Linked DNA regions of Daphnia pulex. The protein of the gene in region 3 purifies or fractionates together with the protein of the main gene of each other region. This does not show direct contact. Links are inferred from orthologs where the notes say so. Each region holds a gene or a part of one and is shown on either strand. Other genes may lie near its edges.

Region 1 (8,254 bases), on a different chromosome or scaffold from region 3:
ACCTATGTGATTTCCATGTTCCACCGAATAACCAAGCAAACGTTGCCGCTACTAATTTACTAATTGTTTCATTACTAAACTCAAAAGAAAAACGGAAGAATGCAATAAGATTTTTATTGCGTTTCCAAACTTTTGAAAAAATTTTATTCCTAGATGAAACGCATTTTGAAACAAAACAGTTAGAAATTTCAAACTTTCTTTGACACCTGAGGCTATGTAAACGCTTGAGCTTTACTGGCTTACTCTTTCCACCAACAGGTAGGTACAAGAGAAGCACAAGGTGTGTCGCGCACCGGACGCTAAAGTTTTCACTCTGTCGAAATTTCGGGTTTCCGTTGAAACAATTTCATCCCAGCACCTGACCTGCAGATTTTTACCTCCACATTCCTTGTGGATTCTCCTTTTGGTGTTCTTTTGTTGCAACTTAACAAGTGTTATTTGTGCAGCACAACTGTTACCACCTGTTCTGTCAAAAGTTCGTTCCAGTAAACTGTGTTGGCGTCCCTTTAAACGGTAGAGTTTGATACTGTATTGTCATTATTGTGTGTGTCCACCTCGTTTTTTCTTCCTAGTTGAAAAGCACGGTGGTGAAGGCATGCCGTTATGTTTTTTTATGGTTGTGGGGCAGTCGTGTAGAAATAGCATTGATTTCTAATTTCTAACAGCAAGGTCATTCTTTATGCCTATCGGCCATTAAGAAGAATGGGTATACAATGTCAATCCTTTTCTTCATGCTCGATCGCTGAAAAAGGGCTCCCACTAATACCTTGCTAACAAAAAGAACGGTGTGTTGTTCCATTTGATTAGGCAGTAGCTGTTTCTACAGTTGAGGCTTTGAGGGAAATCTTTCTTGTCGAGACGCTTGGCGAAGTCCTTGGACAACTAAAAACGTCCCCTTCATCTGAAGGAGCACAACTGAGAGAAATATTTGAAAACCCTCATCTTACAGTAAATAATAGCTTTCTTCTTTGTTTAACGCTTCGTAGATACGTACAAATTTCGCATTTTAAACAGCTGACTAAGGCATTTCTGTTCCATGTTGGAGAATGCTTGTACATTTTTTATGTCTAAAGCTTAGGCCTAATAGAAAAAGATTGGATTAGTTTTTACGGTTATAAATAATTGCATTGTGATAGGCATTATTGGAAACGCACGACGCTGTCACAGAGAGACTGCCCTCCAGACAAGGATCCGTTGAGGAATCGCCATTCGGAGACTTTGATCCATATTCGTGGGAAATGCCGGCCGACATAAGTGATGTGCGTGCAGTGGGTATTAGAAAAAATCCTGGCGAGCCATTGGTAAGACATCCGAATTAGATTTAATTTGTCCAACAAAGATTAACGTGTTAATATTGATCCACTTAGGGACTGACAGTGAAAACGGAAGATGGACAGTTGGTCATTGCAAGGATTTTAGCCGGAGGAGCGGTAGATCGCCAGGGACTTCTACATGTTGGTGACATAATTGGCGAAGTAAACGGTATTGTTGTTCGGTCGGCAGAACAGCTGCAGGTAAAAATGAAAGAAAATAAGTTATGGTTTTGAAATTCGAGTAACAGGAGTTTATTTATTACATGTCGGTTTCAGGTGGAAATCGCACGTTGCAGAGAACACATTCAACTGAAAATCTTACCAAGTTTCCAAGAGAATGGTTCGAATGGGGCACAGGTAGGCCAATCGCCTAGCACAATCCTGGCTTCCGAGACTCTCAACAGCGTGTCCGTGGTAAGTGAGCCGGTAATTCTGCCCGTCTGGTGAATGTCTGTAGCCAACTTCCTTGGGTCTAGTTTTATTCACACTTGTAGCAAAACCTCTCTTCTCGCGTTGTTTTGGACAACCCGCGTCTAACGGTGCAGATTCGACTCACTTATCCACTATACGGTCGTCTGTCTCCCAACTCGATAACGAGTGACCCTAACCTTATTCTTACTAATAATCATCTATCCATTCCTACAGTGTTGCGTTCGAGCTCACTTTGACTATGATCCTAAAGATGATAAGCTCCTCCCGTGTCCTGAAATTGGTCTCGCTTTCAAAAAAGGAGATATTTTGCAGGTAATTTGATGCTTTTAAAAATTACAAGATCTATTCAAGTGAATCATTTATGTTACAATTACAGGTTGTGAATCAAAGCGATCCCAATTGGTGGCAAGCAAAGAAGGTGGGCTGGAGTGGCCCAGCTGGTTTAATTCCTTCACAAGAGCTGGAGGAACGTCGCAAAGCGTTTGTGGCACCAGAAGCAGATTTCGTTCATAAAATTGGCTTCTGTGGAACTAGGGTACGTTATCTTTTCCCGTTAAAATTCAGCAAACAATAATTGTAATATTTACAACCATTAACAGATCTCAAAAAAGAAAAAAAAGTTGATGTACCAAATCAAATCAAGTGTTGATTTGGATAAAGCCGAGCTACTCCTTTACGAAGAGGTTACTCGCATGCCACCGTTTCGTCGGAAGACTTTGGTACTGGTAGGATCGGAAGGCATCGGGCGACGTACATTAAAGAACCGGCTGATCAACAGTGATCCTGATCGGTTTGGAACCACCATGCCTCGTAAAAATTTTCTTCATATCGCAGATTGCATTTATACGCACGGATTAAACATGTTGTATTTGTAGACACGTCCCGGCCGATGCGTGAATTGGAGGAGGATGGTATGGGCTACTGGTTCGTCTCGCGCGAAGAAATGGAACACGACGTCCGTGATCATCAGTTTCTCGAATTTGGAGAGCACAACAATCATATCTATGGCACAAAGTTAGATACCATCCGCGCCGTAATCCGCCAGGGCAAAATGTGCGTTCTTGACTGCAGCCCGAACGTAATATTTCTTTAATAACATATTGACTAATTAACACCATAGCAAAGCTCTATTATCTCTGCATTTCATGTAGGCATTAAAAACTCTACACAATTCACCAGAGTTCATGCCTTATGTCATCTTTTTAGCTGCACCTGGAATGGACCAGTTGAAAAGTCTTTACGAGAACTCCCGATATTCCAGCCGGAATTTGGGAACGGTTAGAATTCTATTTTTTTTTTTCTGTTTTCTAAATGTGTTTATGTTTGTGTAACTTACCCCATTTTCCCCCTTTTGGTTTAACTAGTTCGATCGTTCCAGTTCCATTCGTTTCAGTTCGAGAAGAGCACGTACTCTCGAATCCCTGACATCTTTATACGAGGTTTATTTTCGTACATGTTTTGCATGTCGTATAATCTAGTTTGTCCCCAATCAATTTAATTATTTCAAATTTTGCTCTACAGGAAGAGGATTTCAAAAACGCCTTGGAAGAGAGTGCTCGTATTCAGCGAATTTACGAGAAATATTTTGATCAGATTATTATTAATGAAGATCCCGATCAAACTTTTCGCAAAGTGGTTGAAGCATTGGAAATTCTTTCCAACCAGCATCAATGGGTCCCCGTCTCATGGGTCTACTAGACAAAAAACCAATAACAAAACGAATTCATTGCCAATTAAATTTCAAGCGATTTTTATGATTCATTGTATTCTTTCTTCCTCACTTATTTGACCGCATGCAGCCCACAGGTCCTGAACTTCTAGATCTTCCAAGAATCTGAAAACTTTTTACGTCCAACTGTTCACGTCTCCTCGTATGACAAAAGGGACAAAGTTGAGTTATTTTATACACACAAAATTTATTCATTCATTTGATTGAGTACTTTCTAAGCAGCACCGTTTTAGATTTTGTGACAGAGAACTTGACATATCCTTAATTTTGATTGTCATTCAATATAATACCTGAAGTGCTAATATGAAATTAAAGATCTTTCAAAAACGAGAAGATTATTAAGATTTAATGTTGTGTAGGTAGCTTTTAGGCTCTCTATACCTAGGGCAACATTTTGTTTGCATGAAAGTGTGAATGTCTATGACGTGCGATACATCGATCTATAATTGCAACATGTAAAGCCCTCCGCAAAAGCAGCTGTAACTTCAAATTTTCTGTTCTTATGTAGTTCAGCCATAATCTATTGATCAAAATGGAATACAAGTAAGTGCAAGATGTTGTCGAATTTCGTTTTTTGACTATTAAACTAAGCAGTTTCCATTTTCATCTTTTTGGGCTCTGGTTCTCCCGCAAGTCTTTCTTCCGCGTCAGTTATTTCCTTAGCTTTCCATTGTTCCTCTGGATCCAACTTGTCAGTTTCAGCAATAAAGCTGACACATTTTCCTGTTTTTCGAGTCACTGGAAATTCCCGAATGAAAAATGTAAAAGTGTAAAGTTAAATGCAGAAATTTATAGGGAATATATACCAGCATGAAGTGCAACGGATCGTCCACTCAAATTTAAAGCAGATCTAGCTTCTCCTTCACTTAATCCAAGAAGTAATCCTCTAAAATATGCAATGACTTATTTAGTCTCGTTAATAAGCAGTATCAACAATGTGTTCCTTACAAATTCGCTACGTCGTAAGGATTGCGAAGTTCTAATGGTGTAAGAGCTCCACTACTGATTATGACGTTCTACAGGAAGAGTTGAATATATATAGTAATAAACAACTAAGGCTCCAAAACACAAATAGTAAAATTTGGTCATTCTGAATTTGAAATAGATAAATCTCACCCGGGATTTGCCAACTGTATGGTACAAATGTGAAATCTGGATAATCTTTTTCCTATTTGACGAATCTCTAAGCATATGTGAATAGGGAATCTCAAAAAATATTCCTCTGTCAGTAGCTTGGCGATAATGTTTTCTGGTGAATCTCAGCAATTCTTTGGTTTCAGTCGGATGGTAGGTGATTATGTCTATATCCATGTTGGCTGCTGCATGCTATTAAAAAAAATAATTAAATAAAATTGATTTCAATCATAAAGATAAAAATAAAATACTAGAAAAGCAGCCGTAGTTGTTGGGCAGACAGCTATCAAATCAGATTTTTTGGTATTCCCCGATTGGATCTTTTGAGAAACACAAAATGCTTATCAGTAATTCCCAAATAAAGTGCATTTATATGGAGTACTCACAAGTTTCTGTGTATTCACAGGGTCACTGAGCATGACAGTCAACCGATGTAAGATTTTAACATTCTTCCCATGGACCTAAAGTAAGAGGTAAATTTGAATATAAAATCAAATCCATAGTTTCATTTTACAATACTTTAAATAAGTTCAACTCTTCTTCGGTGAATTTAAGTTTTAGAGGAGGTGGAACATCTTTTTTCTCTTCCTTTACTTCATTTTTCTTGTTCCCTTTTTTCTTGGTGTTGATTAAAACATCTTCTTCTATTGTTGTGTTAATAGCTATGGCACTATAACCAACTGAAAGAAAACAGAACAGGTGAAAACGACGAAATAGGGCAGGATTTTAACTAATTCATTTACGTTTGACAGCTCTCAACACGACTTCTTTAAGTGTTGTAGTAGGACTGCATGGACATGGGATATTGAAATCACAGAAACCTTGCACAGTGTTCATTGTTTTATATATTCGAAAATCTTTTGATAATTCAGTCACGTGCTTTGAAACAAAATCACAAATCACAAACGAAGCAAGCATGTGAATCAAGCAGACGAATTTCTGTCCCTCTAGCGACGCAAATTTATTTGTTTACCAACTTGACAGACACTTGTTAAAGGAAAATCACGCTTGATTTCGGTGTTTTTAAACAGTTAGAACACTAAGAAACAATATAACAATTAAAATGTGAAGTAATTAAATTGAAGTAGATTGTTCTGTTTTTGTTCAGTTGGCTGTTTTTAGTTTTCGTTGAGTGCTGGTTCCAACACCAGCACCATTGATGTCCAGAACTGCTGATGTAGACTTTGTTGAACCTACAACTGATTTGACAGAACCAGATTTGATGCTGATTCTTTCTTCAACAGCTGCTAAACTTTCATTGGAAGATTGAAATGATTTATCTGGAAGCTCCTCGTGGTGTGGTGCCTCAAAATTCATTTTAACCACTGTCTGTTTCCTCCCTTCTCTCAAAGACGATGACTGTACAGATAGAAAATGTGAATTAACAATTTGCTGATTAAAAGTGTGAGTGAAAGTGTGGAAATTACTACAGTCTCGCCAGACGCATTTGTACCCCCATCACCGTTTGAACCCGGACCGTGCGAGGTAAATTGCTTCAAAGCATTGTCCTTACACTTGAGAGTTTCTTGTAAAGATTCTCTGAAATCCAACAAATTAGAAGCTGTTATCTGTTTTCTCATATCTAATGAATTATTTTACAATTTTTTCTCTAGAACGAGTTGCTTCAAATTAGCTTTCTGTTGCACCTCCAGTATGGCAGCCATAAAGTTTTCTTCCAACTCATCTCGTTCAGTTTTAGTTCGCGCTAAACGCTGCTCAGCTACTTCACGTTGCCATACTGCTTCTTCAAGCTGCTTAGACATTGTTTTAGCGTGACCCTTTGCCGCCTAAAAGGTAAGACAATTTTACAATTTGTTTCCTTTGTAGAAAATGCTTGTAACGTTAGAATACTTGAAGAGAAGTTTTAGCGTGCAGCCAGTTTTCTGTGTCTTTCTGCAATTCTTTGTTACTTCTCTCCAATTGCTCGCATTTTTCACGAAGGTGCTTTATTTCTCTATCAGTCCTATGAAACTGCTTCTCCAATCTTTCTTCTTTAACACGAAATTCGGACAATTGTTCCTGGCCATTAGGATACTCAATTTTACGATTACGATTCTACAAAAACAACAGTATGTTTTACCTTCATAGAGGTGATAAGTGTCATGTTGTTGAGAATGATATCGTTGAAGTAGTTTTTCAGATTTATTATTGCCTGCTCGTGATTGATTTTCAGTACGGCCAAATGCTGTTGATCTTTTGTATCAACATCTTGCAAATCGCTCCTCCTTCGCTTTTCTAGTTCGTTCCTTTGCGCTTCCGTCTGATTTTGGAACTTGAGCTCAAGTTGTCTAGCTTCGTGCTCTAGACTTTTACGCATCTCGCTCATTTTTTTCGAGTGCTCCAATTTGATCTTATCGACCGTAAGTTGCTGTTGAAGACTAAGCTGACGTATTTCCTCTTTTAAACGCTGCTGTTCTAGACGCAGTATTTGCTCTTGCTCCTGATGTTCCAAATGAGCTTGCTCTAAAGCAGTTTGTTGCTCGTTCTATATAACAAAGAATTTAGTTATTGTTTTCATTCAACTTTATTTAAAAGTAAAACTAAACCCGCGATTCAGCCAAAGTTGTCTGGTGTTCATGAAGCAGGCATTTTATTTGCTGCTTGTACACTGCTATGTCCTTTTGTCGTATTTCTTCTGCGTCGTCTAACTCTTTTTCTTTATTCCTATTCATAAATGAGTCAAGTAAATCTTTCGTGGTTTTCTTAGAACACTGTAATTCAATACCTGAGACGGGCTCGTGTATCCTCAACTTCTTCTTTTGCGACTTTCCAGAAACCATAAATTTGATCACGTTCCAGTTGAAAGAAATTGCGCTCTTCACGTTCTTTTTCCAGTTGATCAAGAAGTCTAGTTAAGTGATTGAGAAGCTGATCTCTTGACATTTCCGATACTGGTAATCCATCCAGAAGTAAAGCACTACGATGGGACACATTCTTCTTCCCAGTCTTTTTACCTTTGCCTCCTTTCGCCTAGTCGTGTCATTTTATGTAGGTTATAAACTTATAAATGTCCCTTAAGAAAGAAATGGAATACCGTAACTTACCGGTTTTCCCGTTTTAGCGCCGCCAGCTGACTTTGGTTCATTTTTGCTCACCATTTTAAATAGACAACCCTTCGAATCTTTTCTTTTTTTACATTGATGCACAAGAATTGACGCGTTTGTCTGCCACTGTTGCGTTACCTAGTAACAACAAGGTAGCTATCCCAAGCTGATTGTTTGGCGTTGGTCGCTAAGTTACGTTCCACGGATGCATTACAAAAATAGCGGGTATTATAGAAGCTTTCATGTTGTTCTTTCCTCTTGAAAAACAAAATCTTTTATAAGCAAACGTTTTGCTTATAAAAAAATTGCGCACTGCATATTTTAAGAAAAGTGGGGTTCTACTGTCGGGCATTCGAATAATTTTTGTTTGAGTTCTATTGTCGGACATTTAATATATTTCAAATTCAATGGAGTTCTATTGTCTAACATGAAAATAATTAAAGAATTAATTGGAGTTTAAGTGTCGCGTAGTGATTTTTAATAATATTTAAAAATGAGTTCTAATGTCGTTGTAGTTCTACAGTCGTTGTAGTTCTACTGTCGCATTCAAAGAAATTTTTAAAAATTATTTAAAATATTGGGGTTCTAGTGTCGGTGGAGTT
Region 2 (8,853 bases), about 3.7 Mb from region 3:
TACCTATAATTCATCCACACAACCTTTTTGTTTCGTGTATTAGAAAAATGCATTGTTAAAGCTAACATATTGACTCAAATAGGAACTTTTTGTTTAGTATGGTGCAGACAGACAAAGTTTTAAATAGAACCCAATCCAATCCCACAGGATATTATAAAATGATAAAATTAGTTATGTTGTTGTTTAATAAGTGCCATTACCATCTACGATTCTAAATGCAACTATCCACTGATTTTTTAAATACTAACCCTCTAGGGTTATAGCCATGAAGTTGATTTCAACTATTTCGATCGCACAAATTTGGCTGGTACATTTAAGCAGACGATTGTTTTGTCGTCGTCATCATAAAGTTCCCACTGAATGTTCACGTTTTCAGCCTGTCAAGTAAAACAAAATGTAGAAAAAAATTAGCGTCCATCGCCTAAAAATGAATCATTTTTCAACGTACCACTGGGTATTTATCTGAGATAGAAGTAGTTTTGGAGTAGGTGTAAACCTCTTTGGCATTCAATTTGCAACCGACGGCCAATCCGGACTGTTTATTAGTAATGCTGGGACAAGCCAAACTCTCTTTCGATTCCAGATCTGGCAACGAGATATCTCCAATGGTAACAGCAGCTCCGGTAGTGATGTCGCTTTTAATGTTGGTTGCTTGAAACAAATTAGGAATAAGGAATGCGTTTCATTAGCTCCACGAATCGATATTTACCTGGAATAAAGTCGAACTCGACAGTTACTTGTGATCCTCGAGTCAATTGACATGGAAGCGTTTGGCAGTCGGATACGCGCACCTCCAGCACGATGGCGGTCATGTCATTCCCTACCAAGAATAATTCAAAATTACGTCTCAATATTTATCAGAATTCAAACTTAAATTGTTCGACATTTTTATATGGCCGTATTTAAATTTCGATCTCCATCAGAGAAAAATTCAGAACAGTCCGACGTAAAATCAAGATAGGGCGAAATTAAAAGTTTGTAAATGTTCTTACCGAAACAAGGATGAACTGATACACGATACAGAGTCTTGTCTGCATGGGCGTAAAAGGCTAGAACGATGACTAGTACAGCGATGGATCTCATTTGAAGAGCCATTGCTGCTGTTGGAGCTTTGCAATGCTTCCGGACGCTCAGTCAAACAGGTCTGATCGTCCTTTGAACATACTGTGCTATTTTATAGAGCCTAAAAAGTTGTTGAATTCGCGTCAATATCCATTCGGTTTAGTTCTCGATGACTAAGACGTCCATGGGCGGATTTAGTTCACATGTGTTCAACAATGTTTCACAAGTGTTTCTACCTTTTAGAACCACGTCGTCATTTCTCGCATTTTCAAAGTATTCGTATTAGTTTCGGGTTGGAATTGGGACAACTTTGAGTTGCAGTAATTCACTTATTCGTATATTCCAATTCAAAGTGCTTCAAAGTAAAACCAAGTAACAACTTTGCATTGCCCTGGGGGAGGAGACTATTTAAAAACGAGACCGGTAACCGGATAAGGTTTATCTTTCATCAGCAAGTCTAACCCGTACGTCGCAATGACACATTTTTTTTTCACTCGTGTTGTTGTTGTTGTTGTGCATACGTGCGCCACGCGTCGAAAGGATCGCGCATGAACGATTTCACCAGATGCACTAAATGGGAATAATCGGAACGCAACTGTCCTGCACTTGTCGATGAGCGAGTTGGATTAAAACAAATTTCAGAATAGCTGAACAACTGAAATGTTTAGTCGTTCAAGCGGAAACTAGAACGGTTGGGTTTTAATATTAAAATTGTAATTCATAAGATAGGTATAAGTATTTGACTCGCTTTAACTTTAAATCTTCGTGCTTTCTCGTGTGCATTATGTGTATCATTGGTATTTCTTTTTTCTCTGAAATAATTTTACCTTTAAACTTCTTTAGGCATGCAGTAAAAGACACCAGAGCCAGAATAGTAGACTGACCGATGTCGGGAGAAACGCGGGATCGAACTTTTGCAGTTGGCGGGAACGCGTCGTAATTTGAAAAATAAACGAACTGATTGTAGTTCTGCCCGGCCAGTAATTGGGGAAGCCCGCCAGCAAGAAAACAGTAATATCAACCACAATCAAAGTAAGTCACCAACAATATTCGAAGCAATTTTGTTTTAACAGATCAAATAAGATTTTCATGATCTATCTCTATTACTACTAATAAATAATGTGTTTAAGTAAAACCAATTGAATCTTCGAATATATTTCCAGTTTCAGCAATTGAAAAGCAGACCATTTATAGTGACGCAAATACTTCCTCCTCTAGTAGTCCACCGGTAAAATGAGTGTAACCCCTACCATTTAGATAGATACCGGTGGAGAGTTGATTAATTTCAAACCAAATTTGGTCGCCCTTTTTCAACCTCAGCGTTGATGGCAGAGAAAAGGTTCTCCATGTGCCTCTTAGGGCGAACGCATTAGCGTGACAATATGTGATGTCCTTGCCATTTAACTTCAGCGCAATGTAGAGGAGTAGTCTATAAGAAGATTCCGGAAACCACGCCAATCCGTTCAGGTTGAAAAAGTAAGTCCCTGTTGTCGTTGCCGTGAATTTCCCCGTTGATGTATTCATAGCTCCGCCCACATTTACTAGTTCTTCGTCGAATATAATTGTTGTATTTGCTTGACTGAAAACATCGTTCTTGTTTCTCCTGACAAAGAAGTAAGTCGGTGTAGATTTGATATCAGAAAATCCAATTCGCGTTTCAAAACCTATATTAATTAAATCATAAAAGTCATTCCAATGCTCCTTCTTTTGAGCAAATCAAAGTATTATATCAGAGGATGAACTTACTGGGATCGAAAGTTAATTTGGAAAAGTCGCAGTAGACTGTTTCGACATACTTAGCTCCCATTACCGAGTACACTCCATTGAATTGGTGTCCTAGACTTTTAAGATCCAAGCAGGAAGTGGGCATTTTTGTTGCTAGTCCTTGTCTCATAGTAGCGTTACTTGGGGTTAATTGACTGTTGATTGAAGGAGCATTCCCAATTCCTTGCTTTAGATTTACAATCTTTATAGTTCGTTAATATCCGGTTTAACAGTGAAAGCGATGACTTACATGTTTCTGGTCTTTTAGTCTCAAAAGTTCTTCTAACTGAGCATCTTTAGCTTCTAGTTGAACAATTTTGATATCCATAAGTTGCTTTAGGTGAACCTTGCAATTTAAATAGTTTTAACATTAAAGCTAACCTAAATGAAATTTAATTAAATAAAACATTTTTGATTTATTACATAGCTTTCCTTCAGTTGCTGTAATTCTTCTTCTAACGTGAGTTTAGCTGCGCAACTCGACCAGGTAAAAGACAAAATTAGTATATAGAATAACGCTGTCGATAGTGGAGCCATTTTGCGATGGCCCCAAGTCGGAAGGTTCCGTTTTCCCAACTGATTTAGCGACAAGGATTCGCTATGGGTTTAAAAGGCTCTTTGACTAAATCATTCAATTTTTCGTAAACATATTGACTTGGTTGCGTTTTACACAGTTGCAGCTGGTGTATCTCCTTGAAAGGAACAAACTCCATACGAGACTGGTGCGGTCTGAGAGGATTCGAAACTTCTGTTACGAATAATCATGTGGTAAATATTTTTCTTTTGTGGTTTTATTTCAAGGTATTTCGCAGCAGTGCACCGACAGCTGTTGATTGAATTTCCTACTGAGCTGTTGACTCATGGCCCTCTTTTTGTCAAAGGTATGTCATTATTAGTATACACAGTCGTCGTTCAGTGAAAACGTTCTTTGTAAAAATTTGCGGTAGAAATAACTAGTTTCCGCGTTTTTTGCAGCTGTGTAAAGCTTGATTTCTTTTAAAAACGTATTCAGTCCTTAAACATAAACAATACGCAATTTTAAGTTCTAATCATTAAGTAATGCTATGAAAAAATTGTTTTGCGACACAGAATTTTAGGCTGTTTGAGGACATGGCTATTACATTTCTTTCCCTCCTTTTTGTAATGGCAAAACTCGAGTGATACCGGAGTGCAGTTGCATGTGTAAGCAACTATGAGGTACAGATATAAAAGATTAATTTTTTGTTTTAATCGATCCAGTATCTGACTTAATTTATTCAGATGTGTTTTTACAGAAGATGAAATAACAAAAGTCGAATTGAATTCATTTGATTTTCCTTCTAGATGTCTGGTTTGTAAAGACTTGGCAGTTGTCCGATGCCGTTGTAAAAACCGAGCAAATACTTGATGCTGAAAATTAAAAATAAATTAATATGTGAAATTAACATGATTGCCAATAAAACACACCTATTTGGAATTCATCAAATCCAATGAGAGTGAGATTAAGCCATGATTGAACAGAGTTTTCTGTTGCTTCTGGTCGCAATTTCAAAATCACGCCGAGTAACTCTTTTGCCTGTCTTGCAGAAAAAAATCCTTTCCATTTCAAGATGTGAACCTTTTCAGATTTATAACTGGGCTCTGGGCATGTCATTGAAGAAGTGTAATCTTCTTGGTCAGGACTTAGATAAATAAAACAAAGAATGTAATATCTCAGTTTACTCTAAAAGCATATCTAGTTACCATGTGATATTCAATGCAGCAGCTCCAACCCATTCAACAACATCTGAAATGTCTGTTTCAGTGCATAGCAGTGGAACCTTTACTTGATTTAAAATTCTTTCTTCAAAGGATGGCAGACACTGAACTACCTGAAAGCCAAGCAAGTCGAGGTAAGCAGCAAGGGAAGATGGGCAGATGTCAGAATCTGTGGTAAAAACATTATTATTAGTCAACGCTTGATACAATTTCCACTATTAAGAAAAGCCTTACCGTGTGGATGCCAATTCATGATCCAATCAAATTGTAGACTTGTCTGATTTTGTAAACACCAACTAACTCTTTTGTAGTATTTAGAATCAGGGGAAAACTTATCATCAAGAAGATTAACAGAAATGTCTACGAAAACCAAATACAATGTTAACAAACTGAAAAAATTTACAGTGAATAATTAAGTTACCGTATTTAGCAGGACACTTTTTGGATGAAATTACCTCTGCTTGGCCACTTAACCCTAGCTCTTGATACACATCTTTGCAGACAGAAAGATGAAGTTTGCCTGATTCAACAACAATACTCTGATCAACTTCACCCCATGTTCCTAAAGTTCTGGCATCAAAATGTCCTTTTTTAACAAATGCAGAGAGAAAATCAGGGTCCAGCAACTTATGAACGGGGAATTTGTTAACTCTGTAAAATGTTGAGTCTAAAAAGAAGTCTTGAATTTCAGCTATTTCAGTAATTTCCCCAGACAAGATTGCAGTAATCTGTAACAAGAATACTCCTCTATTAGAATAATGTAAAAAGTTATTGAAGTTTCACTCTTACCCCATGAAAATGATTTCCTAGGTCTTGGGAAGGCACTTTATTAAGTATTTGGTCTTTCTTCCATGTGCATGTTTGTTTCAAGGATTTTGGTGGAGGAAAATTTATTACCTCTGGATTGTACATTTCAGGAAGTATTTGAAAGTTAATTCCAACGAAAAAAGAAGAAGTTTTCGATCCGGTGTGGTTTGTAATTGTTTTGTTTACTATTTTAGTCAGTTCCTACTCCATCTAGCGAAAACGTTTTTAGTTATCGATAGTTTATCTCAAAGCTTATAGATGGCGTCACTATCATTACGCGGTTTATTTAAACTATCTAAGTCGACTATATTATAATAATGATATAAAATACCTAGGCAATGAATAAAGAGGGCCAAAGAAGAAGTTACGTGGAAAATTCATAATTTTCTAATGATTTTCTAATGAAGTCTGGAACTCTGGAAGATTTTGTACGATACAATAGATTAACCGAATATTTGTAGCATAATGAATAACGACCACTATGTAAGCATTCAATTTAGTGATCAATTTGCTGCATTACGATAATTGCATTAATCAGAATCATCTGGAAAAGGTCTACAAAAAGAAAATACTGTACCCGCTAAGCTTGCTTTTCCTTTAAACACCCTCCGAGCTCCCACAAAAATCTCTTCCTTTTTATAAGTATTTAACCCATTAATCTTATTTTCCATAGAGATTACTCAATAATTACTTACCCAGACTTTTAATAATTCAGAAATCAGAATATTCAGAATTGATAGACCTCTTGCACCGTGCGGATAGCAGGATTCTTGTAGTCCGACAATGTTGCAATCCGCCATCTTAATAAAACCACACCCTTTTTTTACATGGGCTCTTATGGGAGTATTTTTTCAAAGTGCTTTTTCTCTTACCTGGATTACAACTTCGACCAAAGAAAAATATGGAAAAATACTACATCATTCAGGTAATCCGTAGAATGTAAGTTTTCCACTATTGAAGTAGTGGAAGTCATATTAATTAAATGTTTTGTACAGGGCATCCCCTAAAATTTCAAAGTTGGTTTTATCACAAGTGTGTTGTCAAAGGGTGTCCTTCTTCTTTTCTGCGCCCTGCGATCAATTTTAAGAGCTCATTAATGGGCTGATCTCCTGATTGAATAGCCAGTATCGTGTTGATATGTATTTTTAATGATTTCATATTCTCATTATTCTGAGGTCGACACTTTCAACTCAATTGCTGTTTCTGATCTAGGTCCTGGCTGTTGCACATGAATATAACAGTTATTAAACCCACAGCCAAATTGATACTTCTATTGAAATTCATTACTTTTTCTTTAATGCAATCCTAACATATTCAAATTTTTTTAGTTACAGGCTAGGGATAAACTCACAGCATTGGAGGTTTCACAGGAATTCCAAATATCGATTGTGTTGGCACAAGAACGTCTTTATTTCATGGAAAGAAATGGATTGATTTGTAGAGATGATACTGTTAGAGGCCTTGTCTTTTATCCTAATCTCTTCTCAAGTTCTGCTTAATAAACATTTAAAAATTGTATTAAACAAGTAGTGCACGTCTAATAATTCACACAGAAGGAACTCTATGGGTTAACTCTTGAATGTAATAGTTTTAACAACAATCCGATATGCTGTACATATTTGTTGTGGATTGAAATGCACATTCTATATCAAAATCTACAAAATGGAATGGAGAACCTGATAGATTAATGTAAAAGATGAGATGTTAGGCAATGAACAGCCAAATGGCAATTGTATTTTCAAGCACAGCATTGTCCCTCAAGAGAGATCAAACGAGAAGTTTTTCAATTTCTTGTTGTAAAGACTGAATCTGTGGTTTCGGTTATGATCCCTCATGTACAGTCACAGAACAAGCTGCAATAACAGAACGGGAGACTCCACAAGCACGTCCAAGTGCTAAATAAAGAATGAGTTTATTATAGCACATCTAAACTAATAATTTTATAAAATTACCTTGCTTTGAACGGACAAACACATATGACATATGGAACGTTTTTGTCTTCACAATCACACAGCAATGGCAGATGCAACAAAATCTCCAGTTCAAAATCTCCAATTCGCAACATTAACTTGTTTTCCGTATCGTGTTTCAGTGTAAAATTGACACACACACACACACGACAATCTAAATAATAAGGAAAAATCAATTACCAAGTGTTTCAGTGGGAAAATGTTAAAAATTGTAAGTATACTATACATGTTTTGGTCCTACATATGTAAACAATGCCCATATGCCCTATACAAAACATTTAATTAATATGACTTCCACTACTTCAATAGTGGAAAACTTACATTCTACGGATTACCTGAATGATGTAGTATTTTTCCATATTTTTCTTTGGTCGAAGTTGTAATCCAGGTAAGAGAAAAAGCACTTTGAAAAAATACTCCCATAAGAGCCCATGTAAAAAAAGGGTGTGGTTTTATTAAGATGGCGGATTGCAACATTGTCGGACTACAAGAATCCTGCTATCCGCACGGTGCAAGAGGTCTATTGACACCCTTGCGCGATTGCGCCATCTTTGTTGTTTATGCTCCTCCTCCCCCATCCTCCACTTGCCATACTGCCATTAGTCACCGAATCAACGGTCTTTGACGGCCTAAACCTCGTTTTGGTCTTTGGGGTTTTTTAATAACTGGATTATCTCTTACCGAATTGCTGACATTTCTAAAAGAATACTAAGTACCTTGATAACAAAGAGTTTCAGTAGGAAATTGGTGAGAAACCAAACAAAAAAATTTCTGTTGTACACATGGTCTTCATGATTCTTTTATGATTTCATTTTCTTTTTTCATTTTGTCGTCCAATCTAGTAATAGAAGAATGAATTTTCAGCTTCAGTCATTAATGCAGCAGATCAGCATCAATGACAAGACTTGTTCTGAGGAAAACGAAGGTGAAAGTCAGCATTCGGTATGTTAAACATCACCACAACTTAAGTAACCTAATGGTCTATTATACATAATATTTTGACTTGGGTCAGCAGAGCTATTTTTCTTCTCCGTTACCTACATGGAGTTCAACTCCATTACATAACCAACAAAAAGCCGAACAAGTTAGTAGTGATTCCCCAAATTCTAGTATGGAAAAAGAACAATTTACCCCAAAGAAGAGAATTTTAACTCAAGTAATCATCAATTTGTACTACACATAAAGATACATATTTAGTAATTGATGATTAATTTTTTAGTTCAAATTGGCACCAGAGGAATTTTCTCTTGAAGATGTGCAGCATATGCAGAAGCTCATCAAGGAACTCCATGCAGAGAATGTTCAAAAGACAATGTCCTGCATTAAGCTAGAACAAACTTGCCATTCTTTAAAAGGTGAACACTTTCCTGTTTAGGTTCTGATGTTGAGTATAATTCAAACTTCTTTATTACCACTTTAGATGAGATTGCTTACTTAAAACAAAAAGACCACAAACAAAACTTGGAGGATTCAGAAATTTATCGTATGGAAATATCTAAGAGTCCAGCAACTG
Region 3 (8,109 bases):
TCGAAAGTAAATGAATAATTCTCTTCCATCAACCAGCGGCCATCTATGGTAGACTCAGGTAAAAATCTATGGTAGATCCTCAGGTAAAATTAATTAACTAATTCAATTCCACATTGGTTAAAGAAAAGGGAACTGAAGCCTGCGAAGCCTGCCTTAATATTCTCTTTGCTCGCATTTTTTTTAACCATCTGCACTGTTGTTGTCTGCTGTTTGATGTCTGCTGTTTGATTTATCGATAGTATTTTGTGTTGCAGAATAAAATTACAGAAATGACCAACAACAGTGAAGAACAACAGACCTCATCTTCCGGGAGACCATCATAGAGGAGACCATCATAGAGGTGGTAATTCAAGTCCACCAACTCCAGAGGCAAAGGTTGAATCTGATGCTCCCCTTGCTGTGATCACCACTCAGCCAGCACAGCCAATGCCTGAACACGATGACAGCATTACTGTGGTCATGTGGGAAGCCACCGTTACTGGTCCATCAACCAGCAGCCATCAATGGTAGATCCTCAGGTAATTAATTAACTAATTCAATTCCACATTGGTTAAAGAAAAGGGGGACTGTTCTTGAAGCCTGCCTTCATATTCTCTTTGCTCACATTTTTTTTTAACCATCTACACTGTTGTTGAATGCTGTTTGATTTATCGATAGTATTTTGTGTTGCAGAATAAAATTACAGAAATGACCAACAACAGTGAAGAACAACAGACCTCATCTTCCACCGAGGAGATCATCACAGAGGTGGTAATTCAGCCACCAACTACAGAGGCCAAGGTTGAATCTGATGCTCCCCCTGCTGTGATCACCACTCAGCCAGCACAGCCAATGCCTGAACACGAAGACAGCATTGCTGTGGTCATGTGGGAAGCCACCGTTACCGGTTGACGCCTCATCGACGAGATGGTCAACCTGGGATCATTCTACGTGGCACAGGAAGAGAAAGCAGAAGGGCACAATTTCAACGAGTACGTCATGGATCATTCTACGTGGCACAGGAAGAGAAAGCAGAAGGGCACGATTTCAACAAGTACGTCATGCCGTATGGCAAGCTACCGCTGAATGTAATTCGCAACTACAATCTTTGCGGGTCGTTACCGCATGCTCAAGGAGATCCACAACAACAGAATGCTCAAGTCCAAGAGCAAGGTGGCCGCCTGCAATGATTTCGCCTCGTGGCTCAACAAGCTCCAAAAAGATAATTTCACCGACAAGAAAATTGTCTTAGTCTTCTTTGAACCACGCCACTCCCAAGATCCTTCAGCTCTTCCAGGTATATCGCCATTTAGTTTCTATTTTTAGACTCGTTTCTAACTTTCAGTTTGTTTTAGGCTTTGGAACGTTACCGTCTTCTTGATGATGTCAACAAGATTTTGCTTGGATGTGTTAATGGCTGGGATCTGCTCCGTCAATAGGTAAAAACTGAAATAGTAACACGTGAATTGGTTAGATTTTCTAACGTTTCAATCGAAATTAGGTGCATGATTTGAAGGATGAACATCGCATGGTCCTTAAAGCTTTGGCTGATCACCACCTTGGAGTCGACACACCTTTGGAGAGCGCTGTTCAACGTGCTCAATCAAGCACTTCACAAGATCCTTCGCAAGGTGCATGGCGGCCGCATCAACACTAGGGTACTTAAGGAGAACCTCATCAGTTGCGATCATTTGCTCGAACAAGTCAAGAAGATCAAAGAAGAATTGACTAAGGAGGCTCAATGGAGACCTGTATTCGCTGACATGTTTCGTCAAGGTATCAAGCCTCGCCGGCGAGCTGGATTCCTCCGCGATATGCTCGTCGAGTCGGGCATCACCTATGCAGGCCTTACGGAAACATTCAAGGTGAGTTTGTTTTCTTATTTTCAATTCTTAACCGGATAATTGAAATTTCTTTTGCAGGACAAGAAAGATGACGGTGTGGTCGAGGTCATCAAAGAGAACATCAAAGGCAAGAATGAAGCCGACGTGGAGGAAGTCAGCAAGCTGCTGAATCAACACCTTGCGCAGCCAGACAAGCCCGTCCGACGCGGTAGCGGCCGTCGAGCACCCCGCACTCGTTCCCTTTGCACTGCCACGGACTTGGAGAAGCAGCAGCCTGCGTCCAAGATCGAGCCCGAGGAAAACAACAACGACCTTGTCAAAGTGATTATGGATGTTATTCCCAGCACTCCTGCGGTCCTGTCCGAAGTTTAAAAAGTCCCTCTCTCCTCGACTCGCCTGAAATTACTTACTGCCTCCCGCCCCACTTCCCTTTTGTTTTTCACTTAACTTGTCTCGTTTTTTTGAAATTTTGATCTTTTTTTAAGTTTACAAGTCTTTCACGAAACAAACTTGCTTGTCGCTTTTAGTTATGCTTTTCTTCTTACCAGAGATAATAACACTTGCAAAATTTATAAATATACCAGGGAGCTTTTTGGTAATTGTACTAGTCTTCTACTAAAATCAATCCAGGGTGTATGTGTGCGATGAAATTGTCTCTGCAGTGCCTTTGCAGTGCCTTTCATACTTGTGAGTTGATCTCATGGAATGGAATACAAAATACTCTGAGGAAATTTATTGTCTTTTTTTTATTTTCTTCTCAAAAAAATTCGTATTCTTCATCTCTTATGCAACTATCGAACATTTCTTTTAAGTAGGGATTCTCTAAGGCGGCGGCGACTCTTTCCTTATCGTTGATTTGTTTATTGACTGGATGGGAATAAGAATATTTTATGAAAGCTTTTTTGAACATTTAAATATGGTATTAGGACTTAGGCCTACTCTCTTCTTCTGTGCTGTGTTTACCCTCTGCAATAACTATGTCCAATTTGATCCTTTCCACCACATTTTTCTGAATCTTGCCTCTCAGGCAGAGGCCAATAAGGCTGGCAAGTCGCAAGTGAACAATGAGGAACTGTAGGATTGAAATCTATTCTAACCAAGTAACCGTATTCCTCAAATGGTTGTATGATTGTATTTTATATTACAATAAATGATTGTATGTATATGGTCAAATTGTTGGACCATTCCTATCGGGAAACTCGCGCGCGCAGCAAGGGATCGGATTGTGAATTGTGAATAAGTCCGACTTAATCGTAGGCCCTGAATTTGTCATTTAAGACAGTTTTCAACTGGCTTACGGACTATCCCTTCGCGGCGAGCTGATAAGCTTGCTTTTCTATCTTAGAATTTTCGGTCGCAAAAAGAATATCTGGCAATGTTGCTAACCAGACGACTGTAGCAGACGAAGAAGTGGTGTGCTTCAAACTTCAAAAAAGTGTATGTATTTCGCTGCTACAAACGGCGGCGGCGCACCATATTTTATCAGCAAAATGAATATGTCTGGGAAAAAAACGAACACTTCTGGATCTGATGGATTTCAAAGACTTAATTTCCTATATCAGGTATACTTTTCTGATACAGTTTCATAAAATAAAATTTTAATTTGTAAATTTCCTTCTAATCAGGCATCGATTGTGGCCTTGAATGCAGTTCCTCACTGTCCACAGATTACTTCGGTATTTGGCAAGAATATGATTAGCATCGGAAAAAAACTTCAACTAAAACTGTAATAATTACATTTAGTGACATCCTTGCTTATTAGATAAACTGATGAACATGTACTTACTTTCACTATTTTCGATCAGGGACCACTCTGTAAAACGAACAATATGTAAAGGATGTAAAGTTCTATTGATTCCAGGGAAATCAGTAGAAGTAAAAATAAAACCAATTCCTGCTTCCAGAAAAAGAAAAAGTCGGCGTGGAAATCAGAGGAAAATTCAGGAATGGAAATGTATGCTCTGTAGCTGTGTTAAACAGTTTGTTTTGAATCCTGGATACTCACTGTGGGCCGAGCAGAATATGGATTCCACATAATAATTTAAAAAAAAAGGATAAATTATAAAAAGAAAATTCTATTGAAAAAGAATTTCCCCCACTCAGAAGTTGTTATGTGTGTCTGTGTGATACAAATCTCATGTTAAGAATGCAAGTCACATTCTAGAACTGACCTGCTGTCTTGAATAAAAAGATTATTTTACTATGTTAGCCTCAATCTATCGTTTTATAACTACAATTTATTTACAATCAATATTTACACATTTTGGATGCATTTAACTTCTGTAAACCAAAAATATGAAAAAGGATTATACTCTTTCATTCACGAGGAAATTCAAATGGATATGTTCCTTTAGCTCTCAACCCTCTCATCCACGAGAAATCGTTAAACGGAGATTTTCCTTTAGTTGTGTAGCTCCCAGTCGGATGTTCGACGTACGTACCTGCTATACGACCTACTTGAAGTTCAACACGTCTTGAGATTGCGCAGCAAATTCAAACTTGTAGATTTTGGATGTGTCAGATCTGATTGGGTTCAAATTCCAGCTCTTTCAGATCCTTCACATGACAGAAAGGAATGTAAGGGAAAGACAGTATTGTTGGGAGCCACATGTGAGCTGGTGCACTGTATCGCCTTTGCACCCGTACAATTATTATTAAATTAAAGATATTATTACATTTTTTATTTGAAAGAAAAATTCCAATTCTTTACCAGACGTGAACTTCAACATCCTCGCCAGAAATTGCTTTAGAGTAAAAATGCCCTTGATGACTTCAACGAATGACGAAATCATGTTGTTGACGATTTTAGTTACGCAGGCGCTGCTGGTCAAACTAGCAAATTGATAAACCCATAGTTAAATAAGTAGCCAACGAAACCGCTGTAGAGTCGGTGGCAGTGGTATCCTCTTGTGAAAGAGTTCATGTATATCATCATTGTGAAAGATGTTATCGAATAATTGCGCCTTTTCTTCTTGGCTTCATTACATCGCCACCCGGGAACACAATTCCACGGCGTATTTGGCCCAGGCCGACCGAAAAGAAATGCACAACGCAAACCCAACTGGAGTAAAGATGTCAGTGTTATCCACCAAAACTCTTTGCGGCAATCCCAGAGCAAAGATTCGAGAAAGTTAAACAAAAAGTAAGTTTCCATTTAGAATAAATTGAAACAAAAGTTGAGGTGTATTTTGATTACGTAAGGGCTTCCGGAAAGTTTTCCAACCGGCAATATTCCGCCATTATATTGCGATTGCACCACTAGAAGAAGAAATGTTTTTGCTCTTTTATTGATTTTTAAAAAACTAAGTGATTAAGATGAAGTCGACATGATAAATGTTTTGAAAGGGAGTAGTACCGTGAGATCAACTTGATGTCGTTCGCGGACTAACATTGCAGCAATCTCGCGAGTCGTCCTCAGCTTTCATATCAGCTGGTAAGGTTCACCCGACTAGGCCGCCCGACTTCCAGCCGGTCCAGCCGCCAGGGTCTTTGCCCGCAGAAGTCCAGTTGTGACGATTCGCCGAATGAAATTGAGTCAAGTTATTAATGACAGTTTCTTCGAAAAGCATCGCAATCTTGGTAACAAGCCTTATTCCTTAGAATAGAATGCGTAGACTGTTGGTAGAAGAAGCCAGGATGTTGAGTCTGGATTGCCGGAAGTACTATAACTCACTCGCATGCATCATCCTCAAATAAAATGCCGACCGTCGAAAATCTAAACAAAAGAATTCATACAAATATAATTAAAAATCATTTTTTTTTAACAAAAGCGTTATTTTAATTATACTGGGCACCCAACCAGGCGTGGTGTTCGAATTTCCTCAAAGGGTTCCAATCTTCCCGATTCACAGCCCAAAAAAAATCCATGGGCATGACTCCTGAAATGGGCGATAGCTTCGCTATAGGAAGATTGAGCAAGAACGAGAGCCGCCAGACTTTGAAACCGATGTAGCCTATGCAATCTTCACTTCAGTGACATTGGCATCTATAATACGAAGCTCTAGTAAATGCGCCATTGTAACATACTGCTTATAAGTTCGTGGTAAAATCCGATTTTAAACTTATGTCTCACAAACAGGTTGACGCCGTGATTTTTATTTGTATGTCATGTTCAATTAGTCGCGGTGGGAGCGAACAGCAACGGCCCGCGATGAGAAATGATTATTGTGCGCTTTGGCTTAGTTCATAAAATGCGTTCTCTAACCTGTTTCGTAGTATAATGTATGCAGTATTTAAAATAAAGTTATACCTCAAGGTACATCCCTGTAGATAGCGCTAGATGATCGTTACGGCAAGGAAGGACAAAGAGCGCTTTTGACTGAATGATTTAGCCTACCGAGTTGTTTGGATTTGCATGTTTAGTTTTCCATGCAGGATCGCCCCACTCCAAATCATAGAAGGGAACCAAGACACCTAGAATCTGATTCAGGAGTTTGGCCATCCATTTTATTTTCAAGATGCCTTTAGGAATGTATCATTCATATGACGTTCTCGAAACAGCCAAACAGGTTCGGACAAATGACAAACCCTTATCCTTATGGACTAATTTCTTGGCCGTGGCTCTATCATCCTCTCTATATACCATGCCGACAGCGCCGACAGTACGACATGTTTGCTAATGCTATCCCTATCCGCCACCGCTTTAGGCAACAGACAGTTGCTCAGATGAGTGGCCGTGAATATAGTAGGCCAAGTTTGAGCAAATCAATTCTTTGAAAATAATTCACTGTCAGTGTAAGTGTCTGTGTGTGTCAGTGGAAAAACAAAATTTTGTGTTTTATTCTGGATTTCAGGATGGCTGCATTCACAGACTTTATTAGTCCGTCATTTGTGGTTGGATTATCTTGTGGAATCATATCATCAGCATTGCTTTACAAATTGATGAACAGCACAAGCCCAGGATACATAGTAAGAATTGAGTATTAATTTTGAGAGGGTAATTCAAAAACAAAAATTTTACTATTGCATTTTTTTGGTTTTTAGGACGAGGAATTATCATATGGAGATGCAGTCAACAACAGTGGAAAAACATACAAATTAGTCCTTGTTGTTCGAAATGATCTAAAAATGGGGAAAGGAAAAATTGCTGCCCAGGTTTCTTGTCTCTAGTTGTGTAATTTATTTACATGTTATTATAACTTATTTAAAAAAAATTACTTCCATAATGCAGTGTTCACATGCTGCAGTTGCAGCTTACAAGCAAATGAAACAAAAAGATCAAGAAATTTTGAAACACTGGGAAAACCTTGGCCAACCTAAAGTTGTGGTTAAAGTTGATTCAGAGGAGGAGCTGCTGTCAATTGCAGCAAATTCAAGAAGTAAGGGTCTCCCAACGACTGTTGTAAGAGATGCTGGAAGAACTCAAATTGCACCAGGGTCAAAGACTGTATTAGGTGTTGGACCAGCTTCCTCAGAAATGGTTGATCAAGTAACAAATCATCTAAAACTTCTTTAAAGTTGTTTTATGGGTTCTGTATACTGGGATCTATAATGTGCTTTCCTTCAAAGATTGCTTCTGGAATAAACCATTCATAATATATTGAGCTAGAAAAACAGACTTTGTATTTATTTGATACCTATAAAACAGAAATCATGTGTAAGCTATTGGTGTGTCTGGTAAATTGGAATTTGGTCCGCTAGATACCCGCCTTTTTCTAGCCATAAGGTAAATATGTAACAAGAAATAAACCAAATGATAAAAAAAAAGAAAAATATGGTGCAGAAAATTCGGAACAGGGCCTAATCAAATTTCCTAGCTATATTAGCTTAGCCTATTTACGTATGTTATGACCTATCACCGATTATTTGTTATGCATAGATACATTATACTCTATGCACAATTGTCCATAATAAGGTTTTTTATTTTTTTTTATTTTATTTTTTTTTTGTTACTTTGTTAGTATCGCCGTATCGCCTATCGGATACTCAACTCAACTCAACTGCTGAGAATAGGGCGCCAATCTTTTTTTTTAAATAATTTATATTACTTTCCGTTACCTCTAGATGGCGGGACAGTAAAAATCCCCACGTCACAATAACTGTTTCTGCAAAATTCATTTGACAACCGGGAAGTGATTGTTTTTTCTTAATTTTGAGAAATACAATTTACTATTGTTTGCAATTCCAATCACCCAGTCAGCATGTTTTTTCAACATTATGCAATCAAGGTTTTGTGATTCTGATGTTATTTTGTGACTAAACCAAGTTGTGTGGATCCTCTATTTAGCATTACAAAAGTAGTGTTTCTTTACAAATAGCTAAACAACTGGTTATAGATTTTTATAGA

What was found. Proteins that work in one complex are often made in the same cells at the same time.
Region 1: the proteins of ribonuclease P protein subunit p21-like (region 3) and ribonuclease P protein subunit p30-like purify together in Homo sapiens (co-immunoprecipitation; 3 studies listed by BioGRID and IntAct, counting the BioPlex papers as one, with this or other methods). This does not show direct contact. The link is inferred for Daphnia pulex from reciprocal best matches to the Homo sapiens genes RPP21 and RPP30.
Region 2: the proteins of ribonuclease P protein subunit p21-like (region 3) and ribonuclease P protein subunit p40-like purify together in Homo sapiens (co-immunoprecipitation; 3 studies listed by BioGRID and IntAct, counting the BioPlex papers as one, with this or other methods). This does not show direct contact. The link is inferred for Daphnia pulex from reciprocal best matches to the Homo sapiens genes RPP21 and RPP40.

The regions. Positions count from the first base shown.
Region 1 is NC_060018.1:992,693-1,000,946, forward strand, and holds ribonuclease P protein subunit p30-like, read right to left. Parts: upstream 5,028-8,254; coding exon 4,995-5,027; intron 4,929-4,994; coding exon 4,860-4,928; intron 4,801-4,859; coding exon 4,591-4,800; intron 4,491-4,590; coding exon 4,423-4,490; intron 4,361-4,422; coding exon 4,281-4,360; intron 4,213-4,280; coding exon 4,061-4,212; downstream 1-4,060. Other genes in the region: uncharacterized protein LOC124188900, read left to right, coding at 808-948, 1,137-1,301, 1,368-1,514, 1,590-1,727, 1,959-2,057, 2,122-2,280, 2,345-2,555, 2,621-2,823 and 3 more; dynein regulatory complex subunit 4-like, read right to left, coding at 5,713-5,967, 6,036-6,147, 6,208-6,395, 6,460-6,627, 6,689-7,093, 7,155-7,272, 7,334-7,578, 7,653-7,706. UniProt on the Homo sapiens protein: Component of ribonuclease P, a ribonucleoprotein complex that generates mature tRNA molecules by cleaving their 5'-ends. Also a component of the MRP ribonuclease complex, which cleaves pre-rRNA sequences.
Region 2 is NC_060026.1:1,153,377-1,162,229, reverse strand, and holds ribonuclease P protein subunit p40-like, read right to left. Parts: upstream 5,577-8,853; 5' UTR 5,476-5,576; coding exon 5,353-5,475; intron 5,292-5,352; coding exon 4,985-5,291; intron 4,924-4,984; coding exon 4,798-4,923; intron 4,733-4,797; coding exon 4,549-4,732; intron 4,488-4,548; coding exon 4,273-4,487; exon of another isoform or gene 4,216-4,272; coding exon 4,130-4,215; 3' UTR 4,061-4,129; downstream 1-4,060. Other genes in the region: NPC intracellular cholesterol transporter 2-like, read right to left, coding at 282-377, 449-651, 710-820, 993-1,095; uncharacterized protein LOC124204677, read right to left, coding at 7,202-7,265, 7,323-7,494, 7,567-7,605, 7,676-7,817; beta-taxilin-like, read left to right, coding at 8,193-8,282, 8,353-8,496, 8,560-8,695, 8,761-8,853. UniProt on the Homo sapiens protein: Component of ribonuclease P, a ribonucleoprotein complex that generates mature tRNA molecules by cleaving their 5'-ends. Also a component of the MRP ribonuclease complex, which cleaves pre-rRNA sequences.
Region 3 is NC_060026.1:4,902,370-4,910,478, forward strand, and holds ribonuclease P protein subunit p21-like, read left to right. Parts: upstream 1-3,213; 5' UTR 3,214-3,262; coding exon 3,263-3,385; intron 3,386-3,448; coding exon 3,449-3,549; intron 3,550-3,628; coding exon 3,629-3,860; 3' UTR 3,861-4,038; downstream 4,039-8,109. Other genes in the region: uncharacterized protein LOC124206086, read left to right, coding at 1,497-1,844, 1,902-2,195; peptidyl-tRNA hydrolase 2, mitochondrial-like, read left to right, coding at 6,618-6,731, 6,807-6,917, 6,994-7,278. UniProt on the Homo sapiens protein: Component of ribonuclease P, a ribonucleoprotein complex that generates mature tRNA molecules by cleaving their 5'-ends.